3 linked regions of the Bombyx mori genome follow. The protein of the gene in region 2 purifies or fractionates together with the protein of the main gene of each other region. This does not show direct contact. Links are inferred from orthologs where the notes say so. Each region holds a gene or a part of one and is shown on either strand. Other genes may lie near its edges.

Region 1 (3,933 bases), on a different chromosome or scaffold from region 2:
TAATGAACATGACGAAATATGGAAAAAAAACACATGCCATTTATTTTATCTTCCAGCCACAGACCAATGCAGACAAAAAAAATTTTATTTAGTTCGCTATTAAAACTAGGGTTTGGAATGGGTTCTGACAAAACTATTTAAACAAATGAATTATGATATTCTTCAGGAGGTAATCATTAGCACTGTGCCACTCACTAATTAACGTGGGAGGAACAAAGTTAATTGGGAAATCCAATCACTCTCAGAAGGTCCAAACGATAAATTGTGTAAGCACACATGATCATGGAAACTTTAAATAGCAAACATAACATTTGCTGATAATTATTGAAAGTTAAGTATGCTGGATACACCATCAGGTAAAAGATGGCTAAGAAACATCTTTAAGCAAATTGCGTTACGTTTTCCACATGTGTTTAAAATATTTACACAGATGAGAATTGATAAAATTTATAGTAAATATCTTCATTGCCAAGCTGATCTTTGCTATACAACCTTGTTGACAATTCTGACCTGTTTAGTTATTAAAAGAATCAAACAATTATATAGATCCTAATAAATTAAAGTATGACATGAACTACATAATAGAAATTGTATAATGAACTTACCGTTAGCATCACATTTCTTGTAACAGTTAGAAGCATCTACAAAATTGGTGGCAGCATCATGGCGAACACCAGCTTTCAAGTGGAGCTGTGCTGCATTACAGAAAGCCTGCCCTGCTTGAGGCCACTTCTTGGCCATCTTGAATAAGTTAGCTGCTCTGAGATAACAGTCTACGGCCTCTTCGATTTTTGAGGAGCCTCTGATGAACAGATTATACAATAGAGCTGTTGTTTTTTTTTATTGCTTAAATTGGTGTACGAGCTCATAGCCCACCTGGTGTTAAGTAGTTACTGGAGCCCATAGACATCTACGATGTAAATGCGCCACCCACCTTGAGATATCAGTTCTAAGGTCTCAAGTATAGTTACAGCGGCTGCCTCGCCCTTCAAATCGAAACACATTACTGCTTCACGGCAGAAATAGGCAGGATGGTGGTACCTACTCGCGCCGACTCACAAGAGGTCCTACCACCAGTACTTACGCAAATTATAATTTTGCGGGATTCATTTTTATTACACAATGTTTCTACCACCAGTACTACTAACTATACTTTATTTATTATGAGTATTTACACTTTTGGTTCAGTTTCGTTACGTACTATGTATGTTATACTCATAGTAAAAACCTGTCCAATTGAAATTATATATATTGTATCCCATTAAATATTCAAATTTAATTACAAAAAAAAAATCACATAACCCCGTAAACTTGGCCTTATCTAATCACTTAATGCCAAGTAAACTAGTACATCTTGTGGGGTACACCCCATCTCTAACTGTGGGTGATGTAAATGGCCACTAAGGGATTCCCTGGAGATAAGACAGTAGCAGAGTATTACACAAACAGTTCATAATTATAATTGACTAATAATATGGTATACCACAAGCCAACAAGGCTGAGTGCTACACAATCCTGCTGCATTGCATTTTGAAGGGTGAAGGAATGTTATTATACACAATTGAGGCTTAAACCTGTCTAAAGATTGTTGTAGCGTTCAAGTTCTGATGTCTATCTGGCTCCAGTAACCACCACTTTACAACAAGTAATGTGAACTTGTTCACCTATATAAAGAATAAAAAACTACTAAATATTATTTGATAAAAGTATTGAAAGCATAATTTTTTAAAAGAAAGAAAGAGAAAAAAGAGAAATTATTGATTAGAGCATCTTGCATAATAATAGTTAAACTGGCTATCTGTGACCCCAGCCTACTATGACTATTATTTGAGCATTATCTGCCTTTAGAAGCTTCTTGTATATTTTACCTAATACAGACTTAAATCACAATTCTCTTGATAGATAGATGAGCAGTTATTTCATTTTACTGCAATATAACCATGACAATTTTCAAAAATATCAGCTAGAAACTAATTATGTTAAGCGATCTAGTATGTTCATTCTAATCTGATAACTTAATAATTGCAAAAATGCACCATAACAACAAATTGGAGTGAAAAATTAGTATAAATTTTTTTAAAACACATCTTGTACAATTAGAATTTTTATTTAAGCATAAACCTTATTTCAGTTACGTTTTTAATTAGCTTTTAATATAAATTGCTCCACATATGTACACAAACCACAGTGAGTCAATCATTAATTAATCATGCCATAGAACTGAAAAAATAAATATTTGCAGTCTTGATTTTTCTTTACTTTTAAAGTTTAATTGCGTGCTGATAATTTACTAATAATTTACTTGTGAATGCGGCACACATTCACAAGTAAATTAGCACATAAGATTTTGAATTTAACATAAAATATCCAATATAATTTAAGACAATTAGGTGCAAGGTGCATTAATCTTTACTAAAACTGAAGGATTTCTTCTAAAGTACTAAAAAAATAATAATGATAGAACAGGAAAAAAATAGCGTAATTCTGGAATTTTTTTTGGAGATTAATTATCTAGAATCGGAAATTGGAAGAACTTGAAAAATATTACATTGTTCATTGTTCTCACCCGAAAAGTGACCCCAGGAACGATTTTGATGAACTTAATTTTTTCTCCGCCTCGGCCATTAGCTGCATCGCTTTTTGTTCGTTGTCCGCCATTCTGCTGACTAGTTAAACACTAAACACTAGGAATACGAACTAATATCGTCAAGGGTTTAGTATTTTATTGACAAAATGTCGTCATCAACGTTCACTGTTCTGAAGAAATCTTTCGCTGTCATCGATTAATTCGGTGCTGCCAGAATAAAAAAGTGCTGTCGTTTATTATTTAAAAAAAAACACTCTTGTCGTTGTTGGCAGTACAATATAAAAATAAATATGTATATCCATTTAAAATAATATTAATTTGTATCAAAAATACTCTTAAAATATTTAAAATGTACATAATTATAATTTTCAAGAAAAAGATTGTAGCTATCTATACATATAAAAAATCAATAATAGTGTGGCGTTTAAGTACGCACCTTTTTATGATGCGTAAGCCGGAACGCACGAGATGTGGAAAACAGAATATAGTCTGTGACACGAGACCTTTTTACCGCCAAATATTTAAAACATAAAAATAATTTATAATGTGTTAAATAACTAATATAATATAATTAGCTAGAATTGTTTATGCCGCTATATCAATAAAATTTATATTGTTTCAACTGTGGTGTTAATTACATAAAACACGACTTTACGACGAAAGAAAGATGGGACTCTGTATGAACTCCCTCAATAGTAACTTTTGTCCATATTGAACGCCACGAACTTGCTTCATCATAAAAGAGAGTAATCATCATATCACAATTAAATATGTACATGCTGTAGGTACCAAAGAGCAAACTATAAACATGCACGTATTGAAAAACCAACTAGGTACCTAATACTTTTTTCGCATAATCCGTAGTTTCATTCAAAAAATGTAGCATTTAAGGCATTGTCTTTGCAGTTCCAAATAGTAAAACCCAAAAGTAGGCTGTAGTAGTTGTGGTAAAGTAAATACCTACAACCTTCTGAGAGTATTGGACTTCGATGTTTCTACGGAGGTTCGTTCGGTTCTCTCTGTGCTTTGTGCTGTATATTCCATTAAGAGTACTTTGATAAATTGTTTGAGATAATTTCGACAGATTTTTGACATTTACTGTCCGCCATCAGGACCAAGATTTTCCAAACTACCACCTAGAACCATTGGGTTCATCACAGTTACCAGAAATCTTTTTGTAACGTATCATCGTTGGATGGAATGAATTGCTCTCCATGGCGTTTTCTGAGCACTATTACATGTACTTCTTTAAACGTGCTAACGAGAATTCTCAGTGGCTTAGTTGTGCTCCTGGTCTTTCTGAGTCTCATGTTGAGCGATAAATCACCAACATCGGATGGGCTGTA
Region 2 (3,953 bases):
ACAGCAAAATCAACTCTAGTCATGCACATGAAAAGTCATACTGGAGTAAAACAGTTTGCTTGCCCTAGTTGCCCTAAAGCTTACACCAGAGCTATTTATTTACGGGAACATAGCATAGTTCATACTGGCCAACAGAGACCAAAACCATTTAAATGTTCCAATAAAGACTGTGAAAGAAGCTTTGCCACCAAACATTCATTGTTGGTGCATTTTGCACACACTCACACGACAGAGAGACAGCACAAATGCACAACTTGTTTCAAAGGTTTTGCAACAGCCTCAGGCTTAAAAATGCATATGGAATCTCATGCCACTGTGGAGCTCCATTGCAATATATGCGGGAAGAAACTGTCAAATAAAAGAGTTCTTCAAAAACATATAAAAACTCATAATGTTGATGCCAATGACATGATATTGGAAACTGTTGTTGATAATACTTTCTTCGAACAAGTATTTGATGCAAATATGTAAATTACTATCTAGAATTTAAAAAACTAAAGAAAATAAAGCATTTGTGATTTGAAATATATTTATTAATGGAAACAATATAAAATAAGTATATATAATAATAATGACTGTTTACACTTATCGCTAGGTTCTTGGATATAAATGAAATTATTGTTAATGGCAAACATTAACTCATTGATAACAATATTAGTATGTATGTACCTTACTTTATGATGCAAGAACATAATTCATGATGAGGTGTCTGGAACTTTCACCCATTTAAAATTTGGATTAGTTAATAGAACATAGGTACTTAAAGTAAGTACTCACCTTATATTGGTTGTTTTGCCCTAATATTGTTTTATTTGCACACAAGTCTTATTTATATATATTTAAGTGTACTTAAAACTTTATCTTAAAATAGTGAAACCTAGCTATTATACTGTAACTGTCTCTAATTGCATGAACAACAATTAGAAACAAATAGAAGAAATTTGTCATGATAAGTTGCTAGCCAAAAAGATAACACATTTATTTAAAGATTACAAGATAATTTTTTTTACTATATACTGTGCACAATAAAGTTATGAAGAATGAATGAAGGTTATGATGATCGAATATGATACAGAAAAGGTTTACCTAAATAATATGAATCATACACCATTTTATTAGATGTAACTAAGTGTACATGATCAGCTAACAATGGACAGTATCACACAAGAACCATTATTACATACTATGAAGCTTTATAAAAATGCCAGTCAGCTCAGCAGTGGTGACGAATGTATAGAGCATTAGTATGCAGTAAGAAGCCTTTCAGACAATTTACATTACTAGTAGGTTTATTATATATGGATTTTTCCTTTACTATGAAATCCCCTTTTTACACCATGTTGTTTATCAAATTGCTGCTGGTCATGTGATTCAAATAAAAAATAATCTTATCAAACTTTGCCATACATTAGTATTCCTTATCACACAAAATGATTACACTACTGAATTTTGCAAACCACTCACATTAAAAACATGCTAAATCTTTATAAACAGATACATTTAATAGATTAATAGACCCTTTTAGTTGTTGTTTAAAATAAATCTTTAATTTGCTATAATTATTGCTATTTCCCAAGTAGTTTATTCATTTGTTTATTTTGTTTACCAATCTTGATATCTGCAATCTCAACTTTGTCTTGAATAGTATCCACGAGGTTGTTTTGCTGTTCTATCTCTTCACCAAGTGCAACTCCTAGATGTTTGAGCCGGGATATAGCATGCACCATTTCATCCAAGTTCGAATCAAGTATATTATTTACTCTCTCGTTTTCTGTTTCAGGACTCTTAGCGCTTTCTTGAGACAAACCATGTAGGCGTGCTGAGGGATGACTCTCAAAGCGATCTTCAACGTTCCTAGACATATTATCTAGGGTTTCATCAAGCCTGCTACTACTTGTACCAGCATTACGTACATTCGAGGTCGCTGGACTTTTAGATGGTGTTTGATCACTTTTTCCGGAAATATAATTCTTCAGACCATAAAATACAGACTTTATACCATTTAAATGTTTTTGACTATAGTTTAAATTGGTGTTAATCTCATCAAGTCGCCTGTCTGTGTTCTGTAGCTGTTCACGTTGTCGGGAAAGCTCTTCGGCCGTTGCAATACCAATTTGTTCAGAATCACGAAGCAATCCGATACTTCTCGTTGATGAATCTATTGTCCGTTGTTCGATTTCTCTTTGTGTTTGGATCATAGCTTGGCGTTGACGTTCCAGTTCTGCAATATGACCTCCATAAGGCTTATTTGCTTGCTGTGTTTGAGGTATTCTTGACCGGAAGCGATCTACAAATTCGTTATCATCGACGTCGTCATTTTCGAATAGGTTGTTCGGATTTGTGAAATATTTATGCCCAGACATTGCTTAAAATGTAATTTACTACGTAGGTGTGTTCTCGTTACTTTATTGGTGATGTTCAAAAAGAATGCACTTGAAATTATGGGGGTGGTAAGCACAGATAATACACAATTATTATGGTAGGTATGTACCATAAATGTTTATTTTAGGTTTAATTTATCTGATACGACGAGCAAAGGGATGTAGCCAAATAAAACGATTTTTTTAAGTGTCTGTCTAATTGAACAAAAAAAGTCAATATGCCACGTTCCCTTTGCCTTTCCAATTGAACAATTGAAACAAAGTTTAGCTCTTTGATCAACTTTGATGCGTTTGACGTATGAAGTGAGTCGTGGGCAAGGTCTGTATTTGAGAGCTTTCTTTCTATTCGCTACAAATTTATTAAGTCTATCATCAGAGGATTGCTTGAAAACTGAATACCTACTCTGTTTTTAATATAAGACAGTAAGTATTGTAAAAATGTTAAACAGTTCTAATTTATAACCTCAACGCGAGGACAAGTCAACTATTTATTACTAATTTTGATGTTTATTTAAGATATTTAAGAAAATAAATTACCATTGGAGTCAAATAATGTTCATTTGGAATTAACGAAGTTTTCTTTTACAGAAGCATTAACTAACTCTTGTAAATATGAGTCGTTTCTTTGCAACTGGGACGGACTCGGAGTCAGAGAGCAGCAGCGAGGACGAGCCAGTAGTACGCGCCCCCGCGCCAGTTTACACGGTAAATTTAAAATAAATAATTGGGAATCAAGGAAACAAAATTTTCAATTTATAGTTTAAAAAAAGATAAATAGTTTTTTAAGTTACCAAGGGAGACTAACATTAATCTCATGTAGGATGACAAGATATATGAAACTTTTTTTCGGTAATCAGCAATGCAATTAGCAAAATTTTGTAACTCTTTTAGAAGTTTTGAAAAATGTGATCCTTTAAATTCTTTCCTAAATGTCCACTATCAGTAGCTAATAGAGGGGGTAGCGATCAATAATGTATTTCTGCTCTGCTCGCAATCTGCTATTGTGCCAGCTTACAGCTTTCTAACGACTTGTCCAAAAAATTGAATGGGCAAAGGGAACAGCCATATTTTGTAATGATTGTGAAATTATTTTAATTATAAATTTTATTTCTTGTATTCAGTCATCTTTGTAAAATATGGTATAATATTATTAAAACATTTTTAATTCATAATAAATAAGGTATGACATAGGATTCAACCCATGTTAAATTTAAAATATCTGAAAAAATCCCACAAGTTACATCTTGGCAGGACAAAGGGTTGCTCGTGCTACTCTTTCGTTCCTAAACTCTTAGTAGACTTGTTGGTCAACTGGCATACTGCTTGAAAGATAATTTGGAGTAATATAATAATATACATGGATAAATAATTTAATAGTAACAATAGTAAGCCACTAAAACTTCTATTTATTTCAATTATGAGTTTAATAAGTGCATCTAGTGATTGGCATATCAATTTGTTATTAATTTGTCTTGACTTGTATAACAAGATGCTTTGATTCCGGAATAGTACAGTGATGTGAATTAGATATGTGTTGTTCAATCAATTTTAGAGAATCAGATCAATACTGAC
Region 3 (4,043 bases), on a different chromosome or scaffold from region 2:
AAAATTGGTTTTGAGTTTTTGAGCCAATGTACCTGTCAACAGGTATATTAATATAATTAAAATTTGTGTCGTTTTCATTGTTTGAAATAAGTTGAACTAATTTGTAATTGTCTATATCTCTCTGAAATATTAAACGGAATAAATGGCCTAGCGGTAGTTTTGTTGTAATTCAGAGCTGTCAACGAGCAGTTGAAATAATTAATAAAGTACCTACTTCTTTTGTGAAACTAATTTGAACTAATTCGACTTTTAATTTTTATACATTTTTAACGTGGTTTACATTGTTGATACTATTGCGACCTTTCAGCTTGATATACCCATTGTGGAACATTATCAATGTTTGTATGTTTGTTCTTGGCCGACGCACTCCTCTGCAGGCCATTCCTCCGATCGTGATGAAGTCCGCTAGCACCCGGGGAAGGTTTCTGAGCCAGCGCTAGTCTTGGTCGAAGGGGCCGCACACCACTACTACTATTCGGTTAGTAAAAATGGTGGCTATTTAAATAAATGGTTTGTCGAACTGAATCATAACATATTATTGTATTTTATGCCTTTAATTATATGTGTTTTTGTATACTTGTGTGTATATGAGTGGCTATAGACGATGAGCACTCGAAACCCTCACAGAGCTTTTAGCACCGGTCGAGTTCGTGCGGTAACGACCCGCGTCTACGTCTCTAATCATTCTTGTTTCTGGGGCTGTTTTTGTCGAGCGGCGAGCACCCGCCCCCCCAGGTATCCGAGCGCAGAACCAGCCAGCGCAGCGAGGGCTCCCGCCTTGATCCCCACCACGACCCCCACCGGTCCCCCCACCAGGGCTCCCGCTATCGCTCCGCTGGCGCCCAACGCGCCTGCCTTTATTCTGTTTGAGTATAAGCAATCGTTATCTACAAGTACTGTTTGTTGGATGTGAGGGACACAATGGGTAGGTGTGGGTACCTCTCGGCCGCGGAGAGGTGTTGACGCGCGGCCCGCACTTCACCCGCCGCCGCCTCCACGTGCGCCGCCGCCGCCGACACCTGCAATGGGGGCGCCGGGGACCCTTACATTACCTAACACTGGTAGTTTTCCAATTACGGAGCATAATGCGACTCAGTGACGCACAATGCTGAATTATGCTGAAGCTTAATTGGAACGTGAATTAGTTTTCAAATGCATCAGCAGAGTGCGCTAAGTTAGCACAGTTTTAATTAACATTGATTATTTCTATGAAACTACGACGAAACGGAAGCCTTACAATTTTTTTCAACATTAAATAATATTACTAACGATAATATAAACAAAATTTCGATCAATGCCAACTTAAAGAAAAAACACTTGTCAATTTTCTGTCACTGAGTCGGCATCGATTGCGAGTATCACGCGAGAGCAGTACTTTTGAGAGTGCTCGATCGTGCGAAGCGTTGCTGTAGTTGAAACATTCAACGTTGAGCATTATGCCGCATAATGCGCTCTTGTGCTGTAATTGGAAAACTGCCTTTGTGTCCCCGAGTGCGTGGTTTTTTTTTCTTAGTATGGTGGACGTTCTTACGGCCCACCTGGTGTTAAGTGGTTACTGGAGCCCATAGACATCTAAAACGTAAATACGCCACCCACCTTGAGATATCAGTTCTAAGGTCTCAAGTATAGTTACAACGGCTGCCCCACCCTTCAAACCGAAACGCATTACTGCTTCACGGCAGAAATAGGCAGGGTGGTGGTATCTAACCGCGCGGACTCACAAGAGGTCCTACCAGCAGTGAATAGTATAGCGGGTGTGACCCCCCCCCCCTCACCTGGTGTCGGTGGTGCAGCGCGGCGGCCTGCACGTGCTGCCAGGCCTCGTGCAGCGCGCGCACCTCGCCCTGCAGCTCGCACCAGCCGCGCAGCGCCGCCTCGCGCTCCCGCAACGAGCTCTCCTGCACAACCACGCGCACTCACACACTACACTCCCGGACACGCTCCCCGGTCATCGTAAGTAAATTAACCCTCAAACACAGCCCACTGAGTTTCTCGCCGGATCTTCTCAGTGGGTCGCGTTTCCGATCCGGTGGTAGATTCTGCAAAGCACGGCTCTTCCTAGGGCCAGTGTTAGCAACGTCATCAGGTTTGAGCCCCGTGAGCTCACCTACTAGTTAAGGCGACGCTGACATAGCCTCTCAAGGCTATCAGCTTAGTTAGGAAAAAAAAAATACACCCTCCAGAATCCAGACTAACCCAAAAAATAATCCAAATCCAGACTACTACTCTTGCCCTTCACCAAGGCGCTTAGTTGACTTTTACCATCTTATACGCTATCACTTTTTTTTTTCATAATTAAGAATTCGAAATTTAAAAAAAAACATAGCTAAGCAAGTTGAACAATAAATCAGCTTCAAAACTACATAAAAACTTATTGCTCCACCTAACATTTATTTTTAGCTAGAGACCGTCAAAACTTAAAACACTAGGTGGGCCGATAGATGTGTCCGGGAGTGTATATTACACTGAGTGTCTTGAGAAAACGGCTCTGCATCATGGTGCTTACGTGACCGCGTCACAATCCTCAATACATAGCAACACTCGGCTCGAGTGGGCACGAGACAATCGTAACTGCAACCGTAACGATGAACGTGGACTGACCTGGTCGTTGACCTGCAACTGTATGGAGGAGAGCTCCAGCTCGCGCACCTCGTCGTGGTGGGACAGCACGCCCACCGACTCCGAGGACACGGTGCTGCCCGCCGCCACCTCCACCGCCTCCACCGGGCGCCGGTTCGCCGACAACGGAGACGTATCTGAACCCACGTTACCAAACATTACGGTTACATTTTTATAGGCGTCAATTAGCGGAGCTGATGATCCACCAAGTGAGGAGATTGCCGAAGCCATCGGGCGGCAGCCGCACCGTGCCCCTAGGGACGTGACTTACGAGTTATCTTAGGGTAATCTTTCCATTGGCTGGCCTGATAACTCCATTGCAGAAACAAGCCAGACGCGGGCATACATATGTATGTGCATGTGTACATGGTGCCGAGTAGTGCAGGCTCCCACCACACACACTATAATAATATAGTCCTGTATAGCTAAAACTAAAACACCATACATGAGAACAAAATGAAACTCTTCACCGAAATATTAATGAAAAATCTGTTTAGTTATTACGACAATTAAAGTAGACCTCAATATCATAATTAATTTCTTTCGCTTCGCTTCAAGTGACCCGTTCGTTGCTTATATTGAATGCTCCAACCTATTGCAGTTACCTCGAGGGGTTACACTAGATTCACCGAGCCGGCCTTTATGTCACGTATTCCACGCCTTTTATAGTCGTGTCGGCTATGTCTACAATTTTCCAGAACATTCTTGATAGAACTAGATAGTTCGAATATGTTCTAGACTCGTCTTATCTTTTTTTTTTTTTATTGCCTTTGGAGGCAGACGAGCATACGGCCCACCTGATGGTAAGTGGTCACCGTCGCTCATGGACGTCAGCAATGCCAGGAGCAGAGCCAAGCCGCTGCCTGCCATGTATGCATTATCTTTGTCGAAAGCATTCTCTGGACTAGTCAGCGTATTCGACTTAAGCAATAAAAGTATTGTATTGTTATCGGTCCTTAATAAGTCTCTAAATAAAGTTAAAAATACGCTCTGGAAATTGAAAGGTTCCGATACCTACTTATAGTTACCATAGTTATTAAGAAAGAATTAAGGAATGGTTATTTTTTGGATTTCATTTTATCTTTATAGATTATTGCGTAATATAGCGTTCTTTCAGACTGCAAATCTTTTGCACACTTTTCAACTATATTGATGTACAAATTTTACTTTTGACTAGTTTTTGACGGCCAGAAAAGCATACAGCCCACTCGAGGATGAGTGGTTACCGTCGCTAATGGAGATGAGCAGTGCAGTCAGTAGCAAGTGTCACTTGTACCGCCCGGTAGCGTGGGGTGGCGCGGCATGGCGCGGCATGCTGCCCACTGTCCGGTGTATCTCTCAGCTGCCGTTTACGACAACCAGGGAACAGATGGGGCGGGATTGTTCTGTTTCATTCTGCCTCCGCACGGCGCCTTTCATTTGTT

The links.
Region 1: the proteins of soluble NSF attachment protein 29 (region 2) and alpha-soluble NSF attachment protein purify together in Drosophila melanogaster (affinity purification with mass spectrometry; 3 studies listed by BioGRID, with this or other methods). This does not show direct contact. The link is inferred for Bombyx mori from reciprocal best matches to the Drosophila melanogaster genes Snap29 and alphaSnap.
Region 3: the proteins of soluble NSF attachment protein 29 (region 2) and syntaxin-17 purify together in Drosophila melanogaster (affinity purification with western blotting; 4 studies listed by BioGRID, with this or other methods). This does not show direct contact. The link is inferred for Bombyx mori from reciprocal best matches to the Drosophila melanogaster genes Snap29 and Syx17.

The regions. Positions count from the first base shown.
Region 1 is NC_085113.1:1,629,103-1,633,035, reverse strand, and holds the start of alpha-soluble NSF attachment protein, read right to left. Parts: upstream 2,801-3,933; 5' UTR 2,659-2,800; coding exon 2,567-2,658; intron 803-2,566; coding exon 606-802; intron 1-605. UniProt on the Drosophila melanogaster protein: Required for vesicular transport between the endoplasmic reticulum and the Golgi apparatus. Also between the endosome and phagosome.
Region 2 is NC_085122.1:5,757,500-5,761,452, forward strand, and holds soluble NSF attachment protein 29, read right to left. Parts: upstream 2,364-3,953; coding exon 1,566-2,363; 3' UTR 512-1,565; downstream 1-511. Other genes in the region: gastrula zinc finger protein XlCGF57.1, read left to right, coding at 1-471; eIF3c (eukaryotic translation initiation factor 3 subunit C), read left to right, coding at 2,994-3,086.
Region 3 is NC_085130.1:9,423,893-9,427,935, forward strand, and holds the end of syntaxin-17, read right to left. Parts: exon of another isoform or gene 3,363-4,043; intron 2,757-3,362; coding exon 2,602-2,756; intron 1,899-2,601; coding exon 1,776-1,898; intron 1,020-1,775; coding exon 940-1,019; intron 863-939; coding exon 682-862; 3' UTR 536-681; downstream 1-535.